2 linked regions of the Mus musculus genome follow. The protein of the gene in region 2 purifies or fractionates together with the protein of the main gene of each other region. This does not show direct contact. Links are inferred from orthologs where the notes say so. Each region holds a gene or a part of one and is shown on either strand. Other genes may lie near its edges.

The links.
Region 1: the proteins of Fbxl8 (region 2) and Cul1 purify together in Homo sapiens (affinity purification with mass spectrometry; 5 studies listed by BioGRID and IntAct, with this or other methods). This does not show direct contact. The link is inferred for Mus musculus from reciprocal best matches to the Homo sapiens genes FBXL8 and CUL1.

What each region holds. Positions count from the first base shown.
Region 1 is NC_000072.6:47,517,371-47,523,880, reverse strand, and holds part of Cul1 (cullin-1), read right to left. Parts: intron 5,717-6,510; coding exon 5,599-5,716; intron 4,746-5,598; coding exon 4,669-4,745; intron 4,234-4,668; coding exon 4,102-4,233; intron 3,089-4,101; coding exon 2,996-3,088; intron 804-2,995; coding exon 756-803; intron 678-755; coding exon 595-677; intron 183-594; coding exon 77-182; intron 1-76. UniProt on the Homo sapiens protein: Core component of multiple cullin-RING-based SCF (SKP1-CUL1-F-box protein) E3 ubiquitin-protein ligase complexes, which mediate the ubiquitination of proteins involved in cell cycle progression, signal transduction and transcription.
Region 2 is NC_000074.6:105,261,542-105,268,488, reverse strand, and holds the start of Fbxl8 (F-box/LRR-repeat protein 8), read right to left. Parts: upstream 3,842-6,947; 5' UTR 3,729-3,841; intron 1,795-3,728; 5' UTR 1,476-1,794; coding exon 1,324-1,475; intron 859-1,323; exon of another isoform or gene 844-858; coding exon of another isoform or gene 623-843; intron 480-622; coding exon 1-479. UniProt on the Homo sapiens protein: Substrate-recognition component of the SCF (SKP1-CUL1-F-box protein)-type E3 ubiquitin ligase complex.

The sequences.
Region 1 (6,510 bases), on a different chromosome or scaffold from region 2:
TCATTCTGGCAGCGTTTGAGCACATACAAGGCCAGCACGTTTCCCTAAGTGTACAGTGCAGACATGGTTCAGTCACCTGAATCAGTAGTTTGCGGTCTTCCTCTATATTTTTGTGTGTAGTTTCTTGTTCCTGCTTCTGTTCAGTTTTCATTGGTACATTGATATTAACCCTCAATTTCTTACTGTCAAGATAACAGAGGAAACAGGTCATTGAAAAGTCTGCTTCCTGTCTTTCAACTACACGTTTTGCATCCCTGGACTGGGCAGGTGGTTCACACCCATCTCTTCTATATCATTTCTCATCATTTCTACTGCTACCTGCGAACTGCCCCTCCACCAATGCTATGTAATTTTACCACAGAGGGATGACTGAAGTGACACTTGACCCCTCAATTTAGTGAATTGTAATAACACCAAAATAACTTGATATAAAGGTCTAAACATGCCATATGAGCCACTCAAGACTTATTTTCAAGATAAAGAAAATCAAACTCAGCATTAAAAGCAGAGTCCAGTTCCCCTGGCTCGTGCCGATCCTGAAGTAGGCCAGTGCCAGGGGATAAGACCAGCAGCTACATGTTAGATTTTTCTTACTTTTTATAACCAAGATATAACTTTATTAAGGTGTCTGGCTTCAATTCCACCTCATCAACATTGGCATTTTCATCTTCTAAGACCTAGAAGAAAATAACTGTTACTAGGCACATCCTAGGGAAAGGGTGTCTTCTAGCTCAACACAAAGTATACAAACATACCAGCAATTTCGACTTCAGTAAAATCTGTAGGACTTGTGCCAAAATGTCCTGCAATCAGAGAAAGATGGTAAGCAAGGAGGAAGAATACTTCTTTACAGTGCCTGTCCCAGAGGCCCAGCCTCACAGAAATGGTCATCACCTCAAAGCAGAACTAGTCAGAGAAAGTGACATGGCTTGTTCTTTATGGCCTGAAGCACCCACTATTCAAAGGCAATAATAATGCAGTTTCCCACAAACACTGGACACAATATATGGCCTGCTTCTTCAATGAAACCTACAGGAAATGATTCACTTCTTCGATGTCTGAAGGTTCATAAGACATTTATGTGGTGCTGTGGATCAAACCCAAGGCTTTGTGTGCCAGGCAAGTGTTCTACCAGTAAACTACACCCCTGAACATGCGAACGAAGCAGTAAGGAGCTTCAGCAGAACCAAAGTTGCACTGCATTCATGAACATGCTGAGACTTGGAGGCAGCTGACTTGCTGCCAACTTGGCTTTAGTTGGCAATTCAGTGCATCATATGACCTCTGTAGTTATTAGCTGCTCTGGTGATTTCCAGAACCATCAAGCCTCATGGCATGGGGACTTAACTTTCTCACCTGCACTCTTAACCAAGGCTCCCATGCTGTCAGAGAAGTGACAGCTATGCACTGGGGTCTGGAGGAGGGCAGCTAAAGACCCATAAGGTAATTCTAGTAATACAAAGAAGTAGAAAGATTGGTGTGGCATCGAGGAGAAGGCCAAGCAGAGACTAGAGAGGCAGACCTGTCAACCCTTCCAACCAGCCAGCAAAAAAAAAAAAAAAAAAGTAGGTTTCATTGAAATTTAAAAAAAAAAAATGCATGTACAGCAGTGTACCCATCAGTAAGTACACATGTCAACTAAAAAATTAAATGGGGGCAGGGACCACTTCTTAACTGGTGGAGTACTTGGCTAGCATGCCCAAGGCCCTGGATTCAATCTCCTGCACTGCATAAAAACGGGTGTGGAGCATGCCAGTAATCTATCACAGATACACAGATGTATGTACAAAGACAGGACAGTAAGTTAGTTTAAGGCATTCTCTACCTACTCAGTGAATCTGAGGTCATCCTAGAGTACAGGTGACTATTTCAACAACAGCAACAGAAAATCCCAACCAAACAAAAAATAAAGTGAATGAGGAAAGTTAAAAAATCTTTTATCTGCTTCCCAGCACTCACGTGAAAGCTCAGCCTTGTCTGGAGTGCTATGGGGAATAAATGAGTGAATCCCCAAGTCTTACTGCTGTGCAGCCTAGCTGAATGGATAAGCTCCAGATTCACTGACAGACGCTGCTTCAAAGAAAGAATGACATGTGCACCACAGTGACATCTACTTCTAGTCTCCAACACGTGAATACAAACAAGTACATATATCTACACACACACACACACACACACACACACACACACACACACACACACACACAGAGATAGAGACAGAGACAGACAGTGACTGACTGGGTTTAAAACAGCATTTCAAGGGACAGTGGTGGTAGCACACACCATTAAGCCTAGCACATGGGAGGTAGAGTCAGGCAGATCTCTCTGAGTTCATAGCCAGCATGGATTACAAAGAGAGTTCCTGGATAGCCAGGGCTACACAGAGAAACCCTTAAAAAAAATAGAGCATCTCACACTGTCCTTATAATGCTGACAAAAGAGAGCATTTCTTAACACCCTTATGAAACTGGCATAAAGGTTTATAAGGACACAGCTGGAACTGGCCACCACCATCACAGGTGCTGGCCACCATGCCTGCCTGAGAACCCATGTTTTCTCCAAAACAATTTGCTTAAATACTATAAAGTTATAAAGTCGTGATAGTGGCACATGGAGCTTTACACCCTAGACCTTAGTACCACCAGTACCAGGAATGTGCTGGATGCTCCTCACACAAGTTTGAGACTAGTCAGGTTAACTTTTGGCTCAAGTGAACCTTGCCCATTATATAAACTTCTCTGACTCAACCATGAGAACTCAGTGGTCCTGTTGGCATCCAAGGTGTCAGACACCCCAGTGAAATGCTCTCTGTGGATCTATCTGGCCTGGTCTTCTGGTGCCTTGGTCAGAGTTTACTGCTTTTACTTTTTTCTCCATGCTGCTAACATCTAGTAAGCCAAAGAAACCCATGTCCTCTCCCCCTTTCCACAACATCCCAATGAACAAAGAAGAGGCAGCTTGAGAGTATAGCGTGAGTACCAAACAGTGGAAATACCATTTTAATCTGAGTGCTGTCAGTCAACTGCTGCACAGTATAGGCGTCTTCTGTGTTATACTGAAGCAGGATTGCCATCTGAAATGTGGACGCCTTCGTGGTCCAGAGGAAAGAAAGAGGAAATGTGAAAACATGGGAAAGGTACAACCTGCTTTCATGAAAAGCATTCTTCAGAGGCAAAAAAGGAGAGGGAATACAAAATGTCACAACCAGGGGAATGGACATTTTTCTTAAAGATACCTTTCAAACACTGAAAAGACTCATTTTTCTCCTGAAATGTACCCTATATAAGCATAAATATATGAGCATACCTATAATATAAACATACACCAGGTATAGAGACATTAATTATAAGTTTAATTTTTATGCATAGTAGAACAAAAATTATTTTGGGGATGCATACCATTTATACATTATGTGTATGTTTAAGTTGCCAGAGACCTCCACACCAGGTATAATGGTTACTTAATTAACTTATCAATGTGGAAGTACAAAGGTTAAACTAGTGAGTAGTTTTCGTCACATACTCTACAGTTTAATTACCATTACCAGCTCACTACTGAGACCTTTTCAAGGAATGAAGTAAGTTTTACTTGTGAAACACACTGAGTACAGAAGTGAGAGTAGAAGGAACCTAGACTTTGAACCACAGTTAACTGGACCCCAGCTTTTGTAGAAATGCAATCAGCCCATAGCTGTTATTACTAGGCACTGCACACTGCTAGACGTGCTAGGGAGTCTTATCACTGTGAGGCTGCAGAGAGCTCTGACTGGAACTAGAGAGTGAAATGTCATCTTTTAAATTTGTCACCCCAGCATGTCATGCAAACCTACCAAACCTATCAAAGATCACTTCTATGGTGTAAGCAAACACTGCTAACTCAGTGGAGGAGAAACCTGAGGCTCAGAGTAAGGAAGTGACTTGCATCTATAGTCAGAGAAAATGAGTTCAGCTCACCTGCCCATGACAAGCATGCTTTACTCCCTACATGGCTTTGTCAGAGAATGAACTGCATCCCACTGCATGAGCTATCTAATTGGGTTTCTATAAGTTGTCTTATCATCAATTAGTACTCAAATATTTTACCCAAATAAAAAGATTTTACCTGCAAAGTGTATCTGTTTTTGAAGCAGTTAGTGACTAGTTCCCCTTTGGACAGTTGATACAACCATGTCAATTTTCTGCCACTGTGACGGCTGGCGTAGAAAGCTGTAAATCGCTGATAACTGCGCTCCAACTAGATGAAAGAACAGCACTATGCGGCATCCATGGCTTTCCATTCTACAGTCAGCATTTCTAAATAAAAGTCCCTGCCCCAAGTTCTGAGAACAAAATCAGTGCTTACAGAGAAGTGAACTACAAATGCCGGGGACCGTCTCGTGAACACTTTAAGACTGCAGAGTGAGTACCAAAGCAGGTTTCTACCTCATGCCCAGTAGGTACATCAAGAGTTTACCATGTAACCAGTGAGACTCTGCTTGTCGGGAATAAGTCAACACTGTTTGCTGCAACAGAGAGCCTTTCGCTATTTAACACAGGCCCATTTCACATTCCCCACAAACAGTGCACTGACTGCTTACACAGCACTTCGGTCAGCACACTAAGGTCAGGCAGCCCTTTTCCCTCTTGCCAGCTGAAAGAGACCAAGAAACAAAACCAAAACTATCCTTACCTCTGACGGCAAGGCAAACGTGCAAGACTGCTGAAAGGGCCACGATCCAGAACTCAGGACCTGAATACTGAAGTCCACTGTGGGAAGGAACACATTTAATTACTCTACAAATTTTAAAATTCTATTGTTACACACACACACACACACACACACACACACACACAAGAAATAGTCAAAAGATTTAAAAATTCATTACAAGTCTAGTAGGCTACACATACACAGTGAGATGTCCTAGATCAAAACTTCAAACCAAAGGTTGAAGAACCTAGCAACTGTTGTCCTCCAGGGCAATGGTTTTCCACTTTACTGTCAATATAGAGTTTCTAAGCTGATCTGCCTTGATCAATTTTATTTTTTCCCCTTCTGGATATGAAGTTCAGCATGCACAAGCAATGGATGGTGACCAGGAATGATTGATTTAACAGACCCAAATACAAGAAAATGGAAAGCACAAGAGCAAAGCACTACCTCCACCACAACTTGTGTACCATGTACTACTGTCAAGACCGACAGTAGAGACTTCTGGAACCTATTAATTAGGACACTTTCATTTTCACAGATAACGTAGATGTCCATTAGCAATACAAGCTTAATGATGACAGCAATTTTGATTTGGGAAGAATAAAATTCTCCAACTTTCTTCAAAAACAAGTAAGAGAGAGAAGAAAGAAATGTATTCAAACTCAGGTTCAAAGGCACAACAAGCCCATGGATCAGCACAGAGCGAGGCAGACCTGACTGGTCTCACTCAGCAAAGCTGCCACCATCCCATCTGGGTGTCAGGAGGAGGAGAGAGCACTTGGAAGGAAACGCCTGCTTCTAAGTCTTGGAAACTCTGACCCCATTTACCACCCTCACTCCGTATTATGTCACTTCTCTCATCTGCTACCAAGAGCCCAAAGAGCCCTGCTATGAGCACTCAGTACTCACAGTCCAGCGGTTCTGAATTCGTCAGGTGTTTTTTGAACTGTTCATTCAGATCTTTGCTTACACCAATGTCTTGAAACATTCGCTGAAGTTTGGAAGTGTACTCAAAACCACAAGCTTGCTGAAATAAACCCAGGCAACTGTCTCATTAATTTGTATAGAAACATGAATGTATGCAATGCATATAAGGGATTTTTAGAGAAATCACAATACAATATATTTTTTCTTAAGTTCTTTGAAGCTATTACTAAGATTTAGTCATATCTTATGGCATAAATATATACAGATTAAAGTTTTATGTTCTAAAAGACCATTAAAAGTTGGACAATTGGGTCTTCAATATGCAGTAAACATATTGCAGCATTTAAAGCTGCAATTTAAAGAGATTACGATAGGAAATAATTTAGAAACAGGTGGAATGTTGCACATCTGAAAGCACCGTACTCAGCAGGAAGAGGCTAGCCTGGGCTGTCAATGACCCTCAAGCCAAACCCTTCCAATAGCCCAAATAATCTGCTAGTCCCTTATTCTACCACTAAACTGTCTTTTTTTAGAATGTGCCTGCTGAAGTTTAAACCTCTGGTGTGGAGGTATCTGAAGATGAGTCCTTGTGCGTTCATGAGTGTAGGGTGCCTCTTTAAGAGGATGTTACCCTGTGAGTAATGGGCCAAACAGTGGTTGACTGAGAGCCAGGAGAGCCTGCTTCAAAAACAAGATCTAGATTTTTAAGACTTCTGAGTCCCCAGAATGGAGAGTTCATTTCTTTGCCTAAGTTTCCTGGCCCATGGTATTTTGTTTTGGCAGTCTGAGCTAAGAAAACCACTAAGCATTCACACAGAGCCAACAAGGCTGGATGTGTGGGAAGCAGGTGAGGATGTGGCAAAGGTGAGCAGAGCCTGGCCAAGGAAGGGCTAC
Region 2 (6,947 bases):
GCAATTCCAGCGCGGCGCGCGACATACTAGCAAGGTGCAGTCCAAGGGCGCGCAAGTGAGGACAGGCCTCCAGTAGTTTGAGCACAGAAGTGGGCTGCACGCTGTTCACCAGTGCATGGTTGTCCAGGAAAAGACTGCGGAGCTCGGGACAGCCAGCAGCAGCCTTAAGCACCAGAGTGTCGTCCAGCGTGTAGGGCAAGTGGCGCAGGTCGAGGTGGCGAAGTTGGTGAGCAGCTCCGCAGACTGCGTGCACAGCTCCCAGGATGTCCTGGCCCGCATCAAAAAGCGGTTTCTCTCCGCGGCACTCCAAGCGCAGGCCTCGGAGCCTTGGGGCTCGGCTGGCCAGAGCGGTCAGCAGCTCGGTGGCCGTTCCGCGGCTGGGCTTCTTTGATGGCTCATATTCCAGCCTTAGGTTGTGAATGTGGTCCAGGCAGGAGGACAGATATGGTGGCAACAAGTCTTCCAGCTCACAGTCACAACTTATGTTAGAGCGACATAGAAAGAAATTAGCGGTGTCACCATGAACTAGGAAAGAAACTTTTTTTTTAAATTAATGTTTTGATTTGTGTGTGTGTGTGTGTGTGTGTGTGTGTGTGTGTGTGTGTGTGTATTCTTGCTTTACCTGCATGTATGTCCGTGCACCACAGGCGTGCCTGGTGTCTGAGGAGGCCAGAAGGGGGTGTTGGAATCCCTAGAGCTGAAATTACAGCCATAGCTTCGAGCTGCTGTGTGCGAGGCAGGAATCGAACTCAGGTCTTCTAGAAGAGCCGCTAGTGCTCTTAACTGAAGAGTCATTTCTATGTGCCTTTCACTTTGCCTCTTGCCTATGACAGGAATTTCCATCCTATTTCTTTAGAAGACTTCAGAGGTTTCTGCCTGAGGTTGAACCCTCTCCCAGCAGCCCCCCCACCCCCACCCCGCCACTCCAGGAGTGTGTGTGTGTGTGTGTGTGGGGGGGTATTTAAGGAACTTGGCATGCTCAGTAGTCGGTGGAGATGGAGCAGGGCCTCCAGACCCAAGTGATTAAGTCTATAAGCCTCCATTTCCTGTCTGTGCAAAGGAGGCACTACTCCAGACCCACTACCCCTCATCTTCCTGTGAGCATTAAATGAGTTAACTTATGTAAGGCACTTAGGATACTAGTTGGGGACTTGGGACAGAGTGAGTGGTAGACTCCTTGCCTAGCAAATGTCAGACACTGGGTTCAATCCTCTGTTTCGGAAAAAAAAAATAATAAAAAGACAATGCCAATTGGTATATAACAGGCAGCCAATGAGCCTGTCTTCACAGATGAAGATGAGTGGGCCACAGGAAGCAACTCACCTGATGCTTTTATCAGACCACACGGTGCTGTTGGCGGCAGCCGCCGCCCAGGCCCTGCAGACTCTGGTGGCTACAGCAAGGTCCCTGAGAGGCAGGTCACGGAAGATGAGCGCCAACACTTCCTCTGGCAGATTGTCGACCAGCTCCCCCATGGTGCGGCTGGAGGGGAGGGGCCTGCTGCTCCCAGCTGCTGTGACTAAAGTGAAAGAGGGAGTCCCCTGGGTCAGAGGGGCGGATGGATGCTTGTGCACAGTAATACTGGGAGCCCAGGAAGCGCTATGTGGTTTGTAGAGAAGGCAGAGATCCCAGGCTGTGAGATGGCTTAGCAGATAAAGGCATTTGCCCCAAACACGGACGACCTGAGTTCTGTCCCGGGGTCAGAACTCTTTCAGAAGAACTGACTTCTGAAAGTTGTCCTCTGATCTCCAAGAATGCATGTGTACCCTGATTGGAGCACTTCCACACACATACCTGAATAAACAAACAAACAAACAAAAAGTTTAGAAAACATACAACAAAAGAATGGGACTGGAGGGATGGCTCAGCAGCTACAAACAAACAATCAAACAACAAAACCTTGGCTGTACTTGCAGAGGACCCAGGTTTGGTTCCCAGCACCCCACATGTGGCTCACAACTGCCCTTAATTTCAGGTTCAGGAGACTTGATGCCCTCTTCTAGCCTCTGTGGGCACCAGAGACACACATAGTGTACAGTGTACGCAAACACTCATACACATAAAAAAAAGTGTAAATCTAAAAATTGTTTTTAAGACAAGGCACTGGAGAGAGAGCTCAGCTGTTAAGAGCGCTTGTTGCCCTCAAAGAAGGTAGGACTTTGGTTCCCAGCACCTCCATAGCCAGTAAAAACTGTCTATAGCTATAGGTCTAGGAGATCTAAAAACTTTGTAGCCTCTGTGGCACTGCACGCTCATGTTACACAGACGCATGTGTAAAACCATACACATTAAATAAATTAAGCTAATTTAAAAAAGAAAATGCAGGGCTGGAGAGATGGCTCAGCGGTTAAGAGCACTGACTGCTCTTTCAGAGGTCCTGAGTTCAATTCCCAGCAACCACATGGTGGCTCACAACCATCTGTAATGGGATCTGATGCCCTCTTCTGGTGTGTCTGAAGACAGCTACAGTATATTCACATACATTAAATACATAAATTTTTTTTTAAACAGAAGTCTCTGCTCAGAATAGTAAATCTCCCTAAAGGCTTAAAGGTATAGTTCCAGTGGTTGTGCCTACACACACACACATACATACACACACGCACACACACACACACACACACTTTCCTATCTACCCTCTCTTTTTTTTCTCTTTTCTCATCTCTGCTGTGTGGCCCTGGCTGGTATTGAACTTGAGAATACTCCTGCCTCAGTGGTTTGGTTTTTCTTTCTTTTTTAAAAAATAGGGTCTCACTGTCTAGCCTTGGCTGGCCTGGAACTCCCTATGTAGACCAGGCTGGCCTTGAACTCACAGAGATCCTCCTGCCTCTGCCTGGGAAAGCTATGACTAAAGGTGTGTGTCACCAAGCCTGGCCCTCACTGGCTCTTCAAACTACTTTCTCGTGTGTTGAACAAATGAGAAATAGGTTTCAAGTTGAGGAATCCTGTCCACTAGAAACTGACTGTTGGGGCTAATCAGGCACCAGTCTTAGAGAATATTTTTTGTTTGTTTCTTTTTGTCTGAAATCACAGGCCAATCAGGAAGTGATGGGCGTCCCAGAAGGGGAGTCACCTTTACACTGCCTCCACCCCCTAGTAACGGACTGACTTCCTGCATGCTTTCTGTGACAGACCTGTGGTAAAAAGCTTGTGGCTCTGTCTGGGGCCGGACCGCTCTGGCACCCTTGAGGAGCTGTTGTTCAAGTTAGGACCCTGACCCTCGCGGAGCCTTGGTTCCTGCTAGCTAATAAAGACTCGGGTGGAACCCTGCAGACACACCCCAGAGCTTGGCTTTTACGAGAGGGGTGGGATCGGAATCTGCGTTTTCTCTGAAGCTGCCAGTTTTGCTTCAAAGTGCTGTAAGGTTTTTGTAAAGGTTCACACTTGCCGTTTCATTTCCCCATGTCTTCCAGGTGTATGGTCTCTCGTGGAATTTACCTCAAGTATACACTAGAGTTCCCGGATACTCCAAGCTAGGCTTGTCCTGGAACCACAGCACCCCATTTTCTGTGTTAAAGACTAGCAGAGATTAGATCATCAAACCAGATTTCCTAGGGGGCGCCAGAAAAAATTCTCATCTCCAGGAGATGCCCTCTGATTGAACCCCAGGAACTAACTTAAATTTGGCGGCTCTCACTCTGAAGCCCTTTCGGCTTCAAAACCCCCAAACTGCTATGTCCAGTGGGCAGTTCGTCCTGCCATCTAAACTTGGGTGTCCGTTATCTTACCTGCTCAGCGGACTAGGTGGGCTTTACCCGGAGACAGGGGACTGGCCACGGAGGACAGCTAGGGCAGGAAGGAGAGGCCCTGGGCGGAGAAGGCGGGACGCGCGGGCGGACCCGGCGACTCTGCTAGGGCACCGCCCCTGCGTCTCCGCGCACACCCGGAAGCCGCGCGCAGCAGAGCCAGGCGAGTGTGCGGCGGCCAGGTTAGTGCGGAGGGTGGGTGGGCTCCCTCGGTGCAGCCCCAGCAAAGCGAGAGATCTGGCTTCCCGAGGGCGAGCACCGCGCGGTGGTGACACGCGATTGCTGGCCAGTTAGTGGCAGCGGCCGGTCGGACTGTTTTGGTGGGAGGTACGAGGGACTTCGGACCTCCACCTTCTCTGGTTTTTTGTCCCAACTAAGGGTTTCTGGTGGGTGTCAGGGCCCTGCGGAGGAGGGGATATGGCTGCAGGGCTGGCCGGGAACGGTTCTGAGAACCCTCTTCCTGTCTGAGCCCAGTCGTGCGCGAACCCCCAGTTTGAAGGTGGGGTAGTGGGCAGACTGGGAACCTTCCTAGGCCAGGTCGCTTACTGCGCACCCGAGCAGGGGGCGTGTTCTGATGGTCTGGGAATCTCAAACTTTCTTTGAGTTGGGAGCCAAGCCCTTCCACCTAGCCAGAAGTGGGGCTACCTGGGGACTGTTATTTGTTAATGAGACCGGACATCTGGGTAGAGTCATTTGTTCTGGAACCCAGCGTAGAAGCCTCCTGGTGGAAGGAGGCCTGAGAAGGATTCTTTTTTCATTTTGGTTTTCCGAGACGGGGTTTCTCTGTGTACCCCTGGCTGTCCTGGAACGCACTCTGTAGTGCCAGGCTGGCCTCGAACTCACAGAGATCTGCCTGTCTCTGCTTCCTGAGTGCTGGGATTAAAGGGGTGCACCACCACCACTCGGTTTGGAAACGAATTTTTTTTTTTAAAAGACACACACACACACACACACACACACACACACACACACACACACACACACACGAGATTCAGATGCACCAGAAGAGGGCATCGGTTCCCATTACAAATGGTCGTGAGCCATCATGTGGATGCTGAGAATTCAGGACCTCTGAAGAGCAGTCAGTGCTCTTATCTGCTGAGGGAAGGATTCCTAAGGGGACAGTGAGAAACCAGTTCCCTCCATCTTGTCTGTTCTATTAACCTCACTTCTCCAACTCCGCGAACTCCAAGGCGGCTATTTCCCCTATTTGCCCAGTACTAGTGAATTTACATATCGATTACTCTGCCATCTCCAGCTCTACCGCACTTGTGCTGACAGGCCTGGTGGATAGTACCCCGACACACACCAGTACAGTTCCAAATCTTCTCCTACCCCTTGGGATGGGATCACATCCATGGGATAGAAGGGTAGGAAAGTGAACTAGATGTTTCATGAATCACGAGCTACTTCTTAGACGTCCTTGCTTGTTTTATACCTCGGTAGCTGAAGAGTTACATCGTGATGTTTTTGCCTTACTTTTTACTAAAGACATTTATGGGCTGGGGTGGGGCTCAGTGGCTGAGAACTACCGTACACCTGGCTCAGGGTTCAATCCCAAGTACGGAAGTCACTGGAGCCCTGCCCTGTAGAACTTCCTGGTGTTCTTGCTCTTGGTTCCTGAGGGCTGAGGTTACAGATAGGATGCCATCACCTCAAGTTCTCTCCTTTTCTTTTTTGGCTTTTTGAGCCAGGATCTTACTCTGTAGACCAGGCTGCCCCCTCAAACTCAGAGATTTGACTGCCTCTGCCTCCCGAATACTGGGATTAAAGGAATATTTCATTTACAATCCACCTCCTCTGCTTTTTTTTTTTTTCCTTTTTGAGACAGGGTTTGTCTGTGTAGCCCTGGCTGTCCTGGAACTCACTCTGTAGACCAGGCTAGCCTCAAACTCAGAAACCCACCTTCCTCTGCCTCCCAAGTGCTGGGATTAAAGAAGGTGTGTGCCACCACCGCCCAGCGACTCTTTCTTTCTTTCTTTCTTTCTTTCTTTCTTTCTTTCTTTCTTTCTTTCCTTCCTTCCTTCCTTCCTTCCTTCCTTCCTTTCTCTCTCTCTCTCTCTCTCTCTCTCTCTCTCTCTCTCTCTCTCTCTCTTTCTTTCTTTCATTCTTGTTATTTGAGACAGGGTTTCTCTGTGTAGCTTTGGCTGTCCTGGAACTCACTCTGTAGACCAGGCTGGCCTCGAACTTAGAAATCCACCTGCCTCTGCCTCCCGAATAAGAAACATGTCTCTTATATATAAAGTAGGAGATATTGCTTAATACAAAGAAAATTAAAACCATCCCAACCTGCCCAGAGATAGACAATAATTTTCAGACTGTTTTAGTAAATATATGTATATTAGTATTAAATTTTCTGATGGAAGAGGAGTTTCAAAAATCTATGTTCCTTAGCTGGGCAGTGTTGATGCACGCCTTTAATCCCAGCACTTGGGAGAAAGAGGCAGTGGATCTCTTGAGTCTGAGGATAGCCTGGTCTACAGAATGAGATCCAGGGCAGCCAGGGGTACCTTGTCTCAGAAAACAAACACCCCAACAAACCAACCAACCAAAAACATACAAAAACCCCGTGTCCCCATGCTTAGACCTAGATAGGGCCATGGACAGTTCATCATTTCCCTCCACCAGGTCTATGCTATGCCCTGCCCAGGTGCTTTCTTCTTAACCTTGACTCTCTATTAGAGGTTTGGAAGCAAGATTTTAACAGGAGATGGATGGAAGTGATCCTGGCGTTGAGGGGCCCTCATGTCTCATGTGGAAAGTTAGGGAATTTGTTTAGGAATAGCCAAAGAGAACACGGGCCCAATCACAAAGCAGGATGACTTAGCGCGCATAACTGAGCAGTCAAGGATGGTCCGAGATAGCTGGATCCGTGAGTGCATGTCCTGTCCTCAGGCGGGCGTGGCAGCACTTGCAGATAGACCGCTGTGAGTCAGAGGCCAGCTTCCTGTAAAGGGAATCCAGACCAGTCAGGGCCTAGTACACAGAGAAACCCTGTCTTGACACCCCCTCCCCCACAAAAACCCAACAGTGTGTGTGTCCTGAGATGGAACCCACAGTGGAACAGTTCAGAGCACTGTCAGCTCTTCCAGAGGAAGCTGGTCAGATTCCCAGCACCCATGCTGCGGCTCACAACCATCTGGAACTCCAGTCCCAGGAAAGCTGATGCCCTCTTCTGGCCTTCCTGGGTACCAGACACGT